Ovis aries: one gene and its partners. The protein of the gene in region 2 interacts with the protein of the main gene of each other region in a pairwise test. Links are inferred from orthologs where the notes say so. Each region holds a gene or a part of one and is shown on either strand. Other genes may lie near its edges.

Region 1 (4,253 bases), on a different chromosome or scaffold from region 2:
TCTGAAAATCTACCTCCAGAAGTATATGTTTATAATTCATATAAATAAACTGGAAAATAGCAACATAGCTAATTATCTATACAAACACAAATAGTAACATAGCTAATTATCTATACAAACACAATACTGGCTCTAAGATAATGAATGCGTAAAATGCCTAAAGAGCAACACAAATCTAGTAGAACATAAATATTTCAGTGGAGCTGTAGAAAGTCACTGCATATCTTCAATAAACCCAGAAATATAAAACACACACACACACAAACCCCAAACCTTCAGGTTTCAATAATTCTGGAACTAATTGTGAATACCAGTTGGTTAAGTTCCTGCAGCACCAACATTACAAAAAACTAAAGTCAATAGCTATTTTATGGAAAATTTTGGCTGAAAACATTACACAGCTGCATTTTCACTTCCATCCTTTAACTTATAAGTACAAAATAAGCAGTACTATTCAGTAATAGCAATCCACAGGTGTTGTCAATTTTGAGGGCACTGAATTTCTCATTGAAGCTTGGTATCTCTTGCACCTTTTAAGAATTTATCATGTAGCATATTTACACATATAATTAAGTGCCTTGAACTAAAACCATTTTCTGCCACAATTTCAAAAAGCTTGGGAACTACATTTTTAAAATGAAAATTCAAGATGTAGAAAACTTCCTCACTCAAAGGTACCCATTGATTAATAATGGATTCCATTTACTGACCACCAATTAAATACTATTTAATCTTCACATCTTTGTAAAACAGGTACATAGCAAATTAAGTTAGAGCCGAAAATGGGAGCTCAGGTTTATTTAATTAACCAACACCAAGTAGTCCTGTATGGATGTGAGAGTTGGACTATAAAGAAAGCTGAGCCCAGAAGAATTGATGCTTTTGAAGTGTGGTGTTGGAGAAGATTCTTTAGAGTCCCTTGGACTGCAAGGAGATCCAACCAGTCCATCCTAAAGGAAATCAGTCCTGAATATCAGTGGATGGACTGATGCTGAAGCTCAAACTCCAATGCTTGGCCACCTGAAGTGAAGAAATGACTCACTGGAAAAGACCCTGATGCTGGGAAAGATTGAAGGCAGGAGGAGAAGGGGAAAACAGAGGATGAGATGGTTGGATGGCATCACCGACTCAACGGACATGAGTTTAAATAAGTAAGCTCTGGACAGGGAGGCCTGGCATGCTGCGGTCCACAGGGTCGCAAAGAGTAGGAAACGACTAAGCGACTGAACTGAAGATCCCCGACATCCACCAAAACTGAATCAATTATTTTGAAAAATACAGACGGGCAGAAAGTTGCTACTGTAAATACAGCACTGTGACAACCTCAAAGGTGTACAGACTCACACTTCCAGAACACAAGAAGTAAGTTTACACTGAATGGCAATTTTTAGATCTTGGCATAAAGTTGTACTGATTTCAACACAGTGGCTTTTTGCAGTCACAAATACAGAGGATGACATGAGAATTTAACAGGTGAAGTTAAGAGTCGTTCAAGAGTTTACAGAAGAGAGTCAGAGTTTTTATTTTCTTTATTTCTCCTCTGAAAGGCTATTATTTGGGGGTTGGGTGCAGACTTCCGATCCTACAATTTCAAGGCTTCTAACACAGGGAACTTGCTAATCTGGAGTTAAGTTTGCGCCTGGATTTATTGGAAGGGCTCTAATGCAACAACCTTCACCACCAAAAAGGCCTCGAAGTGCAATCTACGTATGGGTGTGGGCTGGGTGGCGGGAGAACTGCTGCGAAACGATTCAAGATTTATGCAAATAAAATGGTCACCAATTCTGCGGGGAAGAGGGCAAAAAAGGCATTTTCACCACCCCTCGCACTCACACTCTGCGGCTGACGGAACCTGATACCATTTTATTTAAGGCTCATTATCTCCAGTTACCACCTCCAAGACCTCAGCGCCTAACCAGGTCCACGCAGGGATAGTGGCGACGCCTACCTCTCCCTCCCTAACCTGTGCACCCACACCCCGGAGCGCAGCTCGACCGCCCAGGCCACCCTGACCTCCCCTCCCCCTCTGGCCCCTCCACCGAGAGCGCCCAGGCCGAGGCCTCCGGTGCCCCGCTAACGCGTGCTTCACGCCATATGCCACTCGGGCTTCGGTGTCCGACCACTGCTTCCCCGCACTCCTGCCACAAAGCCCACAGCCCACCCTGAAGGTCCAGTGGGCCGCACGCTGCCGGGTCCCTGGCCCTACCCGCGCCTGGAACCCGCAGGCCTCATAAGCGCCCGGGTCCCTAGACCCCCCGCTCGCCATGCCCTCTCGGGTGCACCGCGGCTCTACCCGCTCAGGCTGCGCTCGAAGCTGAGGTCGGGGCCCCGCACGCGGTCCCGCCGCGCCACCCCCAGCCCAGGCCCTCCCGGCCCCTCGCGCGGACCGCCCCCGCTCCGTGCCGGGCCCAGCGCGCCCCGCCGCACTCACCGTCTCGTCGGGGTCGATGTCGATCTTGAAGGTCTGCTGCTGGAGGGTCTTCAGGGTGACCAGCATGGTGCCGTCGCGCAGCTCGGCTGCCGGGCCTGCTCCGGGTGCTGGCCGCTGGGCGGGGTCTGTGGCCTGGCGGGGCCCCGGGGTCGCCCGCGCTCCTCGCGCACTCGGGAGGAAGGCGGTGGGGGTGGGGGCTTGTCACATTCGCCCTGCAGAGCGGCCTCTCCCCCAGCCCTGGCTCCCGGCCGCGCCGCTGCCTCCGCGACTGCGGCCTTCCTCGCGAGCTCGGGCCGCCGTGCTTCCTCACGCGCCCGGTTACCAGCCACTGGGTCTGTAAGAAGCGCGAGGGGCTCTGCGAGAGCAGCAGAGAATCCGCTAGCTCACCACAGGCTGGTGGCCGCCATCATCGTGACTCGCCGAGACGCGCCCTCCCCCCACCACCCTAAAAACCTGGGGGGGATGGGGCCGGGACGGCGGAGCGCGCAGGCGTAGGGTGCGGCGAGGCTGTGCGCAGGCGCAGGCAAGAACTCCGCCCCGGAATTGGGGCGGGGCGGATTGCCGCTCTGGAATGTCGGCCGCCGGGATGGCGCGTGCGCAGGCGCAGTCAGTGGGCGTCTCGTGGGGGCGCTCCGGGCTTCCTCGTCGCGTCTGTTTCTGGGGCCTTCTCCCGCCCGCTGTCGCTCCGCCTACGTGCAGACTCCGCCCGGTTGCCTGAGTTGCGCAATCCGTAGCCGGGGAAGCGCTACGTGGAGACAGGACAGAGTGGCTGGCGAGCCTTGGAACTGGGGAACTAGAGGGCGGTAGGTCGGGGCGAGGTTTAAGTGAAAGGGTTGCGGGCAACCAGCGTAGAGGGCCAGCGCTTGCAGGGCGCTTGCTGTGTGGCTGAAGCCTTGTGCTGGGATTCATTTACCCTGAGAACACTGACTTAAGCGCTAGACGATGTTAGTGGACCTTGCGCCTAAATATAAGATCAAGTTATATCACTTCCCCAGGCAGATCTGTCCAATGGCACCTCATCTCATGAGTAAAAGTCAAAGTTCCTAGAGCTGGGTACACAGCCCCTACCTCTTACATCTTATTCTCTCGGCTTGCACTAGACGTTGTTGGTGGATGTTCAGCAAATGCTCTCAACCTGAGAGTCTACCTTCACCCTTGCTGTTTCCGCTTCGAGTCCACTTTTCCTCTATACCTGGGTGGCTCGACTTCTCACTTCCTTCCAATCTTTGCTCGGATGTCGCCTTCTCAGGGAGATCGACTCTGGATACCCGACTTAAAACAGCAACTTCCCTAGTTCCCTTACCCTGCTGTGTTTTCTATAGCACTTCAGTTCAGTCGCTCAGTCGTGTCCGACTCTCTGCGACCCCATGGACTGCAGCACGCCAGGCTTCCCTGTCCATCACCAACTCCCGGAGCTTACTCAAACTCAAGTCTATCGGGTCGGTGATGCCATCCAACCATCTCATCCTCTGTCGTCCCATTAATACATATTTATTGGGTTTATCATCTTTCTCCCTTCAGTAAATCACAGGCAAGCTGCACAGAGATTTTGTGTTGGGTGATGCACCCCTAGCACGAAGAAACATGCCTGGCGTGTAATGCAGGCACAGTAAATATTTTTGGAATCCATGAATGTGCGCTCGGTTTCTCATCAGTAAAATGGGAATAGTAATAGCACTCAATTTCATTGATTATTGGAGGGGAGTGTTGAATAATGTATGTAAAACCTTTGTACCAGGAACGCACAGAGTTAGCAGCCCATAAGTAGATAGCTATTTGTAGTATGCCCATTTCAGATAAGAAAACTGAAGTAAAGAGATGA
Region 2 (4,315 bases):
AATTATACATCCTTTGGGAAGAAAAAAAAAACAATCTCACAAAATAAGAAACTGTTCCAATGAACAGACATAAAGCTGATATTACACGTGAGCATACAACAAGTTTTTACAGAAGAGCAGAAAATAGGCTGAAATTTTGGTTATGCAGTATGCACTAGACACTTCTCATTTTACTAATAATTCATAGTTTCCATTTTAAAAACAAAGAGTTTCACTTTTGATTCTTCTAAAGTAGTTCACTTCCTAGTTACTAGCTTGAAGTCTACTTCCTAGTTACTACCTTGGTGGATTTTAATGTCAGTTCATTTGAAGTAGATGGTTTAAAGTATTTGAACCTGTATGAATATTTGAAAATAGTACTAACATGAGTAACAAAGAACAGCATATTCATATGGCAAGCAAACACATTAAATGTTTCTTTAATACATAAACACCATAATAGAAGTATAAAAATAAATGCGACTGTATTGCTCTAAAAAATGTCCACAATCTCAACGAGATGATATGACACATAGTAAAAACAGTGTCAAAATGGTAGTATTTTAGACTAACAACTACTCCCTTTGCATAAGGAGGGGACTCATTAAACTAAGAAACTGGACTTGATGGCTAAGATCACTTTTAGTAATTTATTCTTGATTCAAATTTATGCATAAACCTCTGAAATGGGCAGATCTGCATTATCTAAGTACATTAGTCAAAAATCAATTTTAAAAACTCACAAATTTTTTTGCCATTGTTCAAATCTGACATGTGAAAACCATGAGCTACATTTCCCACTTTGAAAAAAAAAAATAGGCTTTAACACTTAACATTGAAGAGAACTATAAACCGGAAGGACACCAAGCCTACTAAATATTGCTCAGTATACTATGGCCACAAGATCCTCCTCTAAGTATTAACACTTTGTCACATACTCAACATCAAAAACTAAAGTTCAAAGTATTCAAAACAGAATGAAGGGGATTAGGAGATAAACTGTTCTAAGCTCCCATTATTAAAACTAGAATTATTTCACTGCAAATAAACCGCAGTCTGCAACATCTTCTCAATCAACCCAGTCACTCTTTAGTTGCTAAGTGGCGTCCTACTCTTTGCCACCCCATGGCCCCATGCCACACCAGAAACCCCCTCAGGCCCCTCTGTCCATGCGAGTTCCCAGGCAAAGATACTGGAGTGGGTTGCCATTTCCTTCTCCAAAGGATCTTCCCAACCCAGGGATCGAACCAGAGTCTTCTGCATTGCAGACAGATTCTTTATCACCGAGCCACCTGGGATGCCCAAATTAACCAATAACAATTAACTAACACACAAGAGTTCCAAGAAAACTTCCCCAAAGTGCCTAAAATAACAATGCAGTATGCTCGCTTTCCAAAATTCTTGAGCATCTTCAATTACTTCAAGTACTACCATAAAATTCTAAAAATATCTCAAAGCAAAAACTTAGCACGCTGTGAGTATACATAGTCCATTTTACGACAGTAGGCCTTATTTTAAAATCAAGCACAGGTAGGATACAATGATGCCAAGAAAACTACTGATTATCAACACCACAGGGTGGGGCATTCACACTACTCTCCCAGAAAAATCGAATAGTTCTACCAGCTTTTCACAGTAAACCGTGGTCACCACCATAATTTCAAGACGAGTAAAGTAATGGTTTTCCTTTTGCCCAAAATGTTTTTCACACCAATAACCCCCTCCCCAAAAATTAAGCCATAGCCAACGACTCTCCAGGATATGGTGCAACCCGTGAGAGTGCACTTCAGATTCCGAAAGCAAAATCGAAGGGGGAAAAGTAGCATCTCTCACTTAACTATACTTAACGGAAAAGATTTGAAGCTTCACAAACCCAGATTTTTTTTTTTAAGGGAACAACCTCTTTAATGTGTGACCCAGGCAAGAGTAAAGGGTGAGGATGGAACAAGGTCAAACTTAGGGGACAAAATATACCTGAAATAAGCATGGCCGAAAAGGTCTCTTCTTAAGGGACAGTTTCTATATTTTTAAAAAAAAGGAAAAAAAAAAAACAAAAAGAAAAAGGAACCAACCAAATCCTCTACTTTTACATTGAGTCCACCTGGTTCCTGTACCTGGCAATTCAATTGCGGTGGAGACTCTTTTGCAAAATAGCAGATCTGGAAGGCTCCTGTCTTGGAAAGAAAACTGGGTTCACAAGGGATGACAACCGGCTATTTCTTTTTCTTAAAAAAAAAAAAAAAAAAAGACGAGGAAGATAAAGTTTAATTAGGAAGTCATACAGAGGAGTGTAGGAATGTAAGGTCGCGCTCAACAAACACCCATCACCGTCGGTTACAGGAAAACAATTGGCAAGAAGGAAGTGGACTGAAACCCGCTAACTACACCCCGCTTTCCACACGCAGCCCGGAACTGGGAGCGACGCCCCCAAAGCGGGCAGGGGCGGGAGACGGCGGCGCGGGGAAAGCTGGGGCCGCGGAGGCCCGGGCGGCGGGGAGGTCCCGGCCGCGGCGGGGGAGGGCGGCACCTCGGGCGGAGGAGCGGGGCCGGGTCTCCTCACCTTCTGCGCCGCGCTCTGCTGCAGCACGTTCTGCTCCACGGTCATGGCCCCCGCCGCGCCGGCGTCCGGCTCCCCGAGCCTCCGCTGGCCCTGACTGCCACGCTCCGCCGAGCCCCAGGGAGCGGCGCGGACGGCCGGCGAGGACAGCGCCCCCGCCAGCCAGGCGCGAAGGCGACGACGGCCGGCGTGCGCGGGCACCACGGGCTGGCGGCGCGGCGCGGACACCGAGGGCCACGGCGGCGGCCCCACGACTCCGCGCGGCCCGCCTCAGCGCGGCTCGGCGGCCGCGGCCCGGGCCATGAGCGGGCGGTGGACGCTGGGGGGCGGGAGGGCGCTAGCAAGCCCGGACGCGTCACGCGCGCGCGCGCGCTCCTCCGCTGGCGGCTCGCGGGCCACTGCGGGGAAGGGAAAGGGGACAGAGGGAGCGGCCGGCCAGAATGGCGCTGTCCTCCTCCCACCGCAACTCCTCCTCCCCTCCCCTCCCCTCCCCTCCCTCCTCTCCTGTCCCCTCCCCTCCCCTCCCTCTACCGCCCCCTCCCCTCCCCTCCCCTCCCTTCCCTCTACCGCCGTCACCGCCCCCGCCTGGCGGCTCCTCCCCCGCCGAGCCCCGCCCACAGGCCGCCCTAACCCTACATTGTGACCCGCGGGTCGGTGTGACGGGAGGCGGGGCCGCTCCGGAGCCCCGCCCCCCGTCCTGGAGTCCCGCGGGGTGGGGCGAACGAGCGCCACGCGGGCCCGGCCTCGGAGCCGCCCCTGCGGCAGGTTGCGCGACGCCTACCCGCGGCTCCGCGACGCTTCAAGCCAAGGCCGGAGGGCATCGTGCCTCTTCATGCCCAGAATTTGTCAGATTTCCATATCCCTCTAAGAGAAACATTTTCCTCTAGGTCCCTGAACGTTCCCAAACCGCTTTGGATCCCGAATCCTTGGTCTTTCTGAGTCCTCTCCCCAGCCCTTTCTAGGAATTTCACAAGCAGTAAACTTGCCCGAAGAGAAAAGTCAATTGTGATTTAAGCAAAAGGCTGTCAGAAGGCCTTTCGCTGGAATGTACTTTTCTCTGCAACTAATCATTACATAAGTTAATATTGATAGTCTCTGTCAACTTCGTCTTTTCAAACATGTGCCAGTCACTGGCAGGCTCTTAGGAAATAAAAGTTTATTTTCCTAAGGTTTGACGTAAATGAAATACGGTCTATTCAACAGACAGTGTTACAAAAATATCACTGCCTAGATGGTACAGGATACCCCAGTTGCAAAACAATTATCAATTAACCACCCTTCTTGAAATACTTGATTATATATGGAATAGTAAGGAAAACCTAATTTTGAGAAAGCAGTCTATAACCTCAAAAATATCTTGAATTTCACAAGCTAATCTGGGGGTGGGACACAAATAGGATGTGAAGATGCAGTGTGCTGCGAGAGAAGGAATAATCCGTGGTTCAGTTCAGTTTAATTCAGTCATTCTGTCGTGTCCGACTCTGTAACCCCACGAACTGCAGCACATCAGGCTTCCCTGTCCATCACCAACTCCTAAAGTTACTCAAACTCATGTCCATTGATCGGTGATGTCATCCAACCATCTCATCCTCTGTCCTCCCCTTCTCCTGCCTTCAATCTTTCCCAACATCAGGGTCTTTTCAAAGGAGTCAGCTGTTTGCATCAGCTGGCCAAAGTTTTGGAGTTTCAGCTTAACATCAGTCCTTCCAGTGAACACCCAGGGCTGATCTCCTTTAGGATGGACTGGTTGGATCTCCTTGCAGTCCAAGGGACTCTCAG
Region 3 (3,639 bases), on a different chromosome or scaffold from region 2:
TGAGTAATTTTATTTTTCAGTTATGTTCTGAAGAATTATTTTCCAGGGTGGCAGGGGAGGGAGTTGGTGGGTTGGGAATGAGATAGAAGGTGATCTTTTTATTATTACTATGAAAATTTTCAAAAATACAGCCAAGTTGAGAGAGTTTTACAGAGTATAACTATATACTTGCTATATAAATTCTACCACTAGCTTTTTACCATATTGTTTCCTTACATATCCATCAATTTTTCCCTCTTATCAGTATCTTATATTTTTTGACACACTTCAAAGTAATTTGCAAGTTACTATATACATCTCCCTAAATTCTGTTAATAGGCATCAACTAGAGGTCAATATTTGTTCACCGTTTTTCTCTGGATGTGAATTTACGTGCAATGAAATGTACAGCTCTTAAATGTACATTTACTGAATTTTGCCTAATGCAAACACCTGTGTAACCAAACCTCTTGAAGATAGAGAGCATAACCACATGGCAGAGACAGTGTCCCATCCAAGGCAGTCTCCTTGCCTAGAGGCAACAGCCGTTTGGATTTTTTCTACAGTAGATTAATTTACCACTTTGGACCTTCATGTCCATGAGATTGTACAATATTCATTGACTCTTTTGTGTCAAACGTTTTTTCACTCAGGTTAATGTTTAGGTGATTCAGCAGTAACAATAATTCTTTTTATTGCTGAGAAGTATTCCATTGTGTGAATATACTGTAGTGTCTTTGTCTTTGTACAGATTGTATGTTAAATGATAAACAAGATAGAAGATTAAGCCAATAGAATAAGTATTTTAATGCTAATTTAGTGTCTGACTTTGTTATCTGTTATCTCGGGGTTAGTCTCCACATTTCTGCACCTTAGTGATCCTTAAAAATATATGCATTAGACTTCCTAGGCAATGTCTGTAAATGTGATGAATCTATGAATGCTTCAATGCTAAACACAACTATTATTCAACATCTTAAACTTTTAATCCAAAATTGGGTCTCCTGATGTCAGCCGTCATGAATTGGTGAATTTGTACTCTAAATTTGAGAGAAAATACTTTCTTTGTCACTGGATAATAGTCTTTATAAGAGAATACTTGGGCATTTTTAAGTTAGTAACAAGTGTTGAACCTGAACCCATAATTAGAGCATTTAAAATTTTGTACCACAGGCTAATTTCCGTTTTTTCTGATTGTTAAGGTTAATGCTCTGGATAATCTCGGTCAGACTTCTCTGCACAGAGCTGCACATTGTGGTCATCTGCAGACTTGCCGCTTACTCCTGAGCTATGGGTGTGATCCTAACATCATATCCCTTCAGGGCTTTACTGCCTTACAGATGGGAAATGAAAATGTGCAGCAACTTCTTCAAGGTATTGAATACTTCAGTGAAATTATTTTTTCAGTTAACTTTTAAATTTTTTCATATATCATGTAGGAGTTGGTAGTAAAAAGAAAAATTTTCAAAATTATTGGCTGCTATTTCTTCTTGATCAGCTCGTTGTAGTCAGTGCCTCCATGTTGTTAAGTCTTTTTCCCAGTAGTGTTTGCTACTGATCTTTGCTGAGTAAATAGCTGGCTCTTAAGTTTTTATCTAGAAAGGTTTTAAGAGTGAGATGCAATAGTTGCTATTTCTTTTTAAAGAGAGGGAAACTGAAGAGGGTAGCTATCTCCTAGTAGAGCAACCAGAGCTATAAATAATACGCTTAGAGGCCAGTCCTGCCTGTTCACTCCTCTAGATCCTTTACATAAGGCATATAGAATCTGTACACAGTAACCAACTATTTGACTTATGTTTGAATACACTGATATTCATTTTAAATTCAAATCAACTTATATTCAATATCTACACATTTGGCATAGGTTAAACATTTCAGCCTAGAATTCTGGTCCCTTCCAATTAAAGATAAATAAAAGAAATATGGTCCCATAATTTCAAAGTGTCTTTGCCTACATCTCTGTATTTTACTAGACATTAATAAAACCTCTTTGACACCTCAGAGCTCAAATGAGAAGAAATGTAACAGACCAAGTGTTTTGTACCTTTAATAGTCCCCCTTGATGATCCTTATGCCTGTGGTTTAGAAGCCCCATTTTGAGAAAACACTGCTTGAATAGATAAAGGCAGATTAATAAGATCTCCTGGGAACTTCTAAAATTCTGAACTACAAGACTGCTCTCAGAATTGCCTTTACTTTCCCATCTACCATGCGTGTGTTTCAGTGTCAGAGTTGAGGGTAATAGCATTAGTTCTGTTCAGTTACCTGGTGATGGACATTTACAGTCTTGCTTTTATGCTACATGCTATACATTACCTTTCCAGTGAGTTTCTTAAAGTGGAATTTCTGAGTCAAGGTTAACATAATTGTTAAATCATCTCCTAGAAAGGCTGTTATGTACCATTTTACATTCCTATTAATAGTTTATGACAGGACCTGTTTTCCTTGTCAGCCCCAGATATTATGATTCTTTATAATTTCCTTGGGTGAGTGTGTGTGAGTGATTGTGTGTATGTTTGTATTACAGAAGTAATAGGTGCTTTTTTAAAATGCAAATTATAGAAGTATTGACAGTGTAACTCTTTCATTTGCTCTTTGTCCACTAATGGATGAAAGAAAAGCCTAGTATATCATTTTAATTTGCATTTCCAACGTGTATGCTGCAATATTTTTTCCAATTTTGTTTTTTGCCTATAATTTTGTTTAGTTTTATTTTGTTGTCTGACAGATATTTTTCCAAATCAGTTTTGGTTCTGCCTTTGATGTACTTGCTTTAGGATGCTTTTCTATTTCAAGATAAATATTCACCTATTTTTTAAAATATTTTTAAGTTTTAATTTTTCATATGTAGCATCTTTAACCCATCTGAAGTTTATTTGTTCTAAGATACAAGGTATATGTTTTCTTCCTTTCTTTTGAGATTTAAAATGAGCTATAAAACAGAGTTTCAGACCTGAAAATAACTTCACTTGTTTCTAATCCAATGTCTTTTGTCTTTTTAGAACTGGAACAATCTGAGGCCCAGAAAGTTCAAATGACTTGTTCCAATTCAGATAGCTAGTCAATGGCAGAACCATGGGGAGATGTCTAGCTGTTGCTCTCCTTATTTAATACTTTACCACCAGTCACTGACTTCGTTATAGAGTAATCTTCTGTTACCTATTTTATATTCCATTATGTTGCCTAAATCTCATTTTATAGTTATTATTCATATACATTTCACATATGTGATGTTTCCAAAAAAATTTATACTGCTTTTCCCGTACTACTATGGAGATTTCCTACATAATTGCCATCAAACTGTGAAAGGAACTTTACTCTGAAATAAGATGCCTCCCTTAAAACTTGGTCCCATCTTCCAAATAGAAGTTAATCACTCTTTCCTTCTCTTTTTTTTTAATTTTAGAGGGTATCCCATTAGGTAATTCAGAAGCAGACAGACAGTTGCTGGAAGCTGCAAAGGCTGGAGATGTAGAAACTGTAAAAGTAAGACATGATCTTATGGTTTTTCTAAACATTGGGTTTTTATTTTGACAGTGTTTAATGAATCCATACTGTTAAAATGAAAAAATCTAGTTATTTGTTCTGTTAAAATAAAAAAATCTAGTTATTTATATGTGCATTGTTTTAAAAGGTAAATAATGGTAATTCTGCTCTGCA

The links.
Region 1: the proteins of USP25 (region 2) and RAD23B interact in binary tests that used the Homo sapiens proteins (3 or more experiments, as listed by UniProt). The link is inferred for Ovis aries from reciprocal best matches to the Homo sapiens genes USP25 and RAD23B.
Region 3: the proteins of USP25 (region 2) and TNKS2 interact in a two-hybrid assay, tested with the Homo sapiens proteins (2 studies listed by BioGRID and IntAct). The link is inferred for Ovis aries from reciprocal best matches to the Homo sapiens genes USP25 and TNKS2.

Annotation. Positions count from the first base shown.
Region 1 is NC_056055.1:15,850,825-15,855,077, forward strand, and holds the start of RAD23B (UV excision repair protein RAD23 homolog B), read right to left. Parts: upstream 2,853-4,253; 5' UTR 2,824-2,852; coding exon of another isoform or gene 2,650-2,823; 5' UTR 2,550-2,649; coding exon of another isoform or gene 2,498-2,549; coding exon 2,432-2,497; intron 1-2,431. Other genes in the region: uncharacterized protein LOC121818810, read left to right, coding at 2,496-2,549, 2,650-2,823, 2,927-3,234. UniProt on the Homo sapiens protein: Multiubiquitin chain receptor involved in modulation of proteasomal degradation. Binds to polyubiquitin chains.
Region 2 is NC_056054.1:142,138,225-142,142,539, forward strand, and holds the start of USP25 (ubiquitin carboxyl-terminal hydrolase 25), read right to left. Parts: upstream 2,937-4,315; 5' UTR 2,585-2,936; coding exon 2,540-2,584; intron 2,333-2,539; exon of another isoform or gene 2,094-2,332; intron 1-2,093. UniProt on the Homo sapiens protein: Deubiquitinating enzyme that hydrolyzes ubiquitin moieties conjugated to substrates and thus, functions in various biological processes including inflammation and immune response.
Region 3 is NC_056075.1:13,175,547-13,179,185, forward strand, and holds part of TNKS2 (poly [ADP-ribose] polymerase tankyrase-2), read left to right. Parts: intron 1-1,181; coding exon 1,182-1,353; intron 1,354-3,385; coding exon 3,386-3,465; intron 3,466-3,639. UniProt on the Homo sapiens protein: Poly-ADP-ribosyltransferase involved in various processes such as Wnt signaling pathway, telomere length and vesicle trafficking.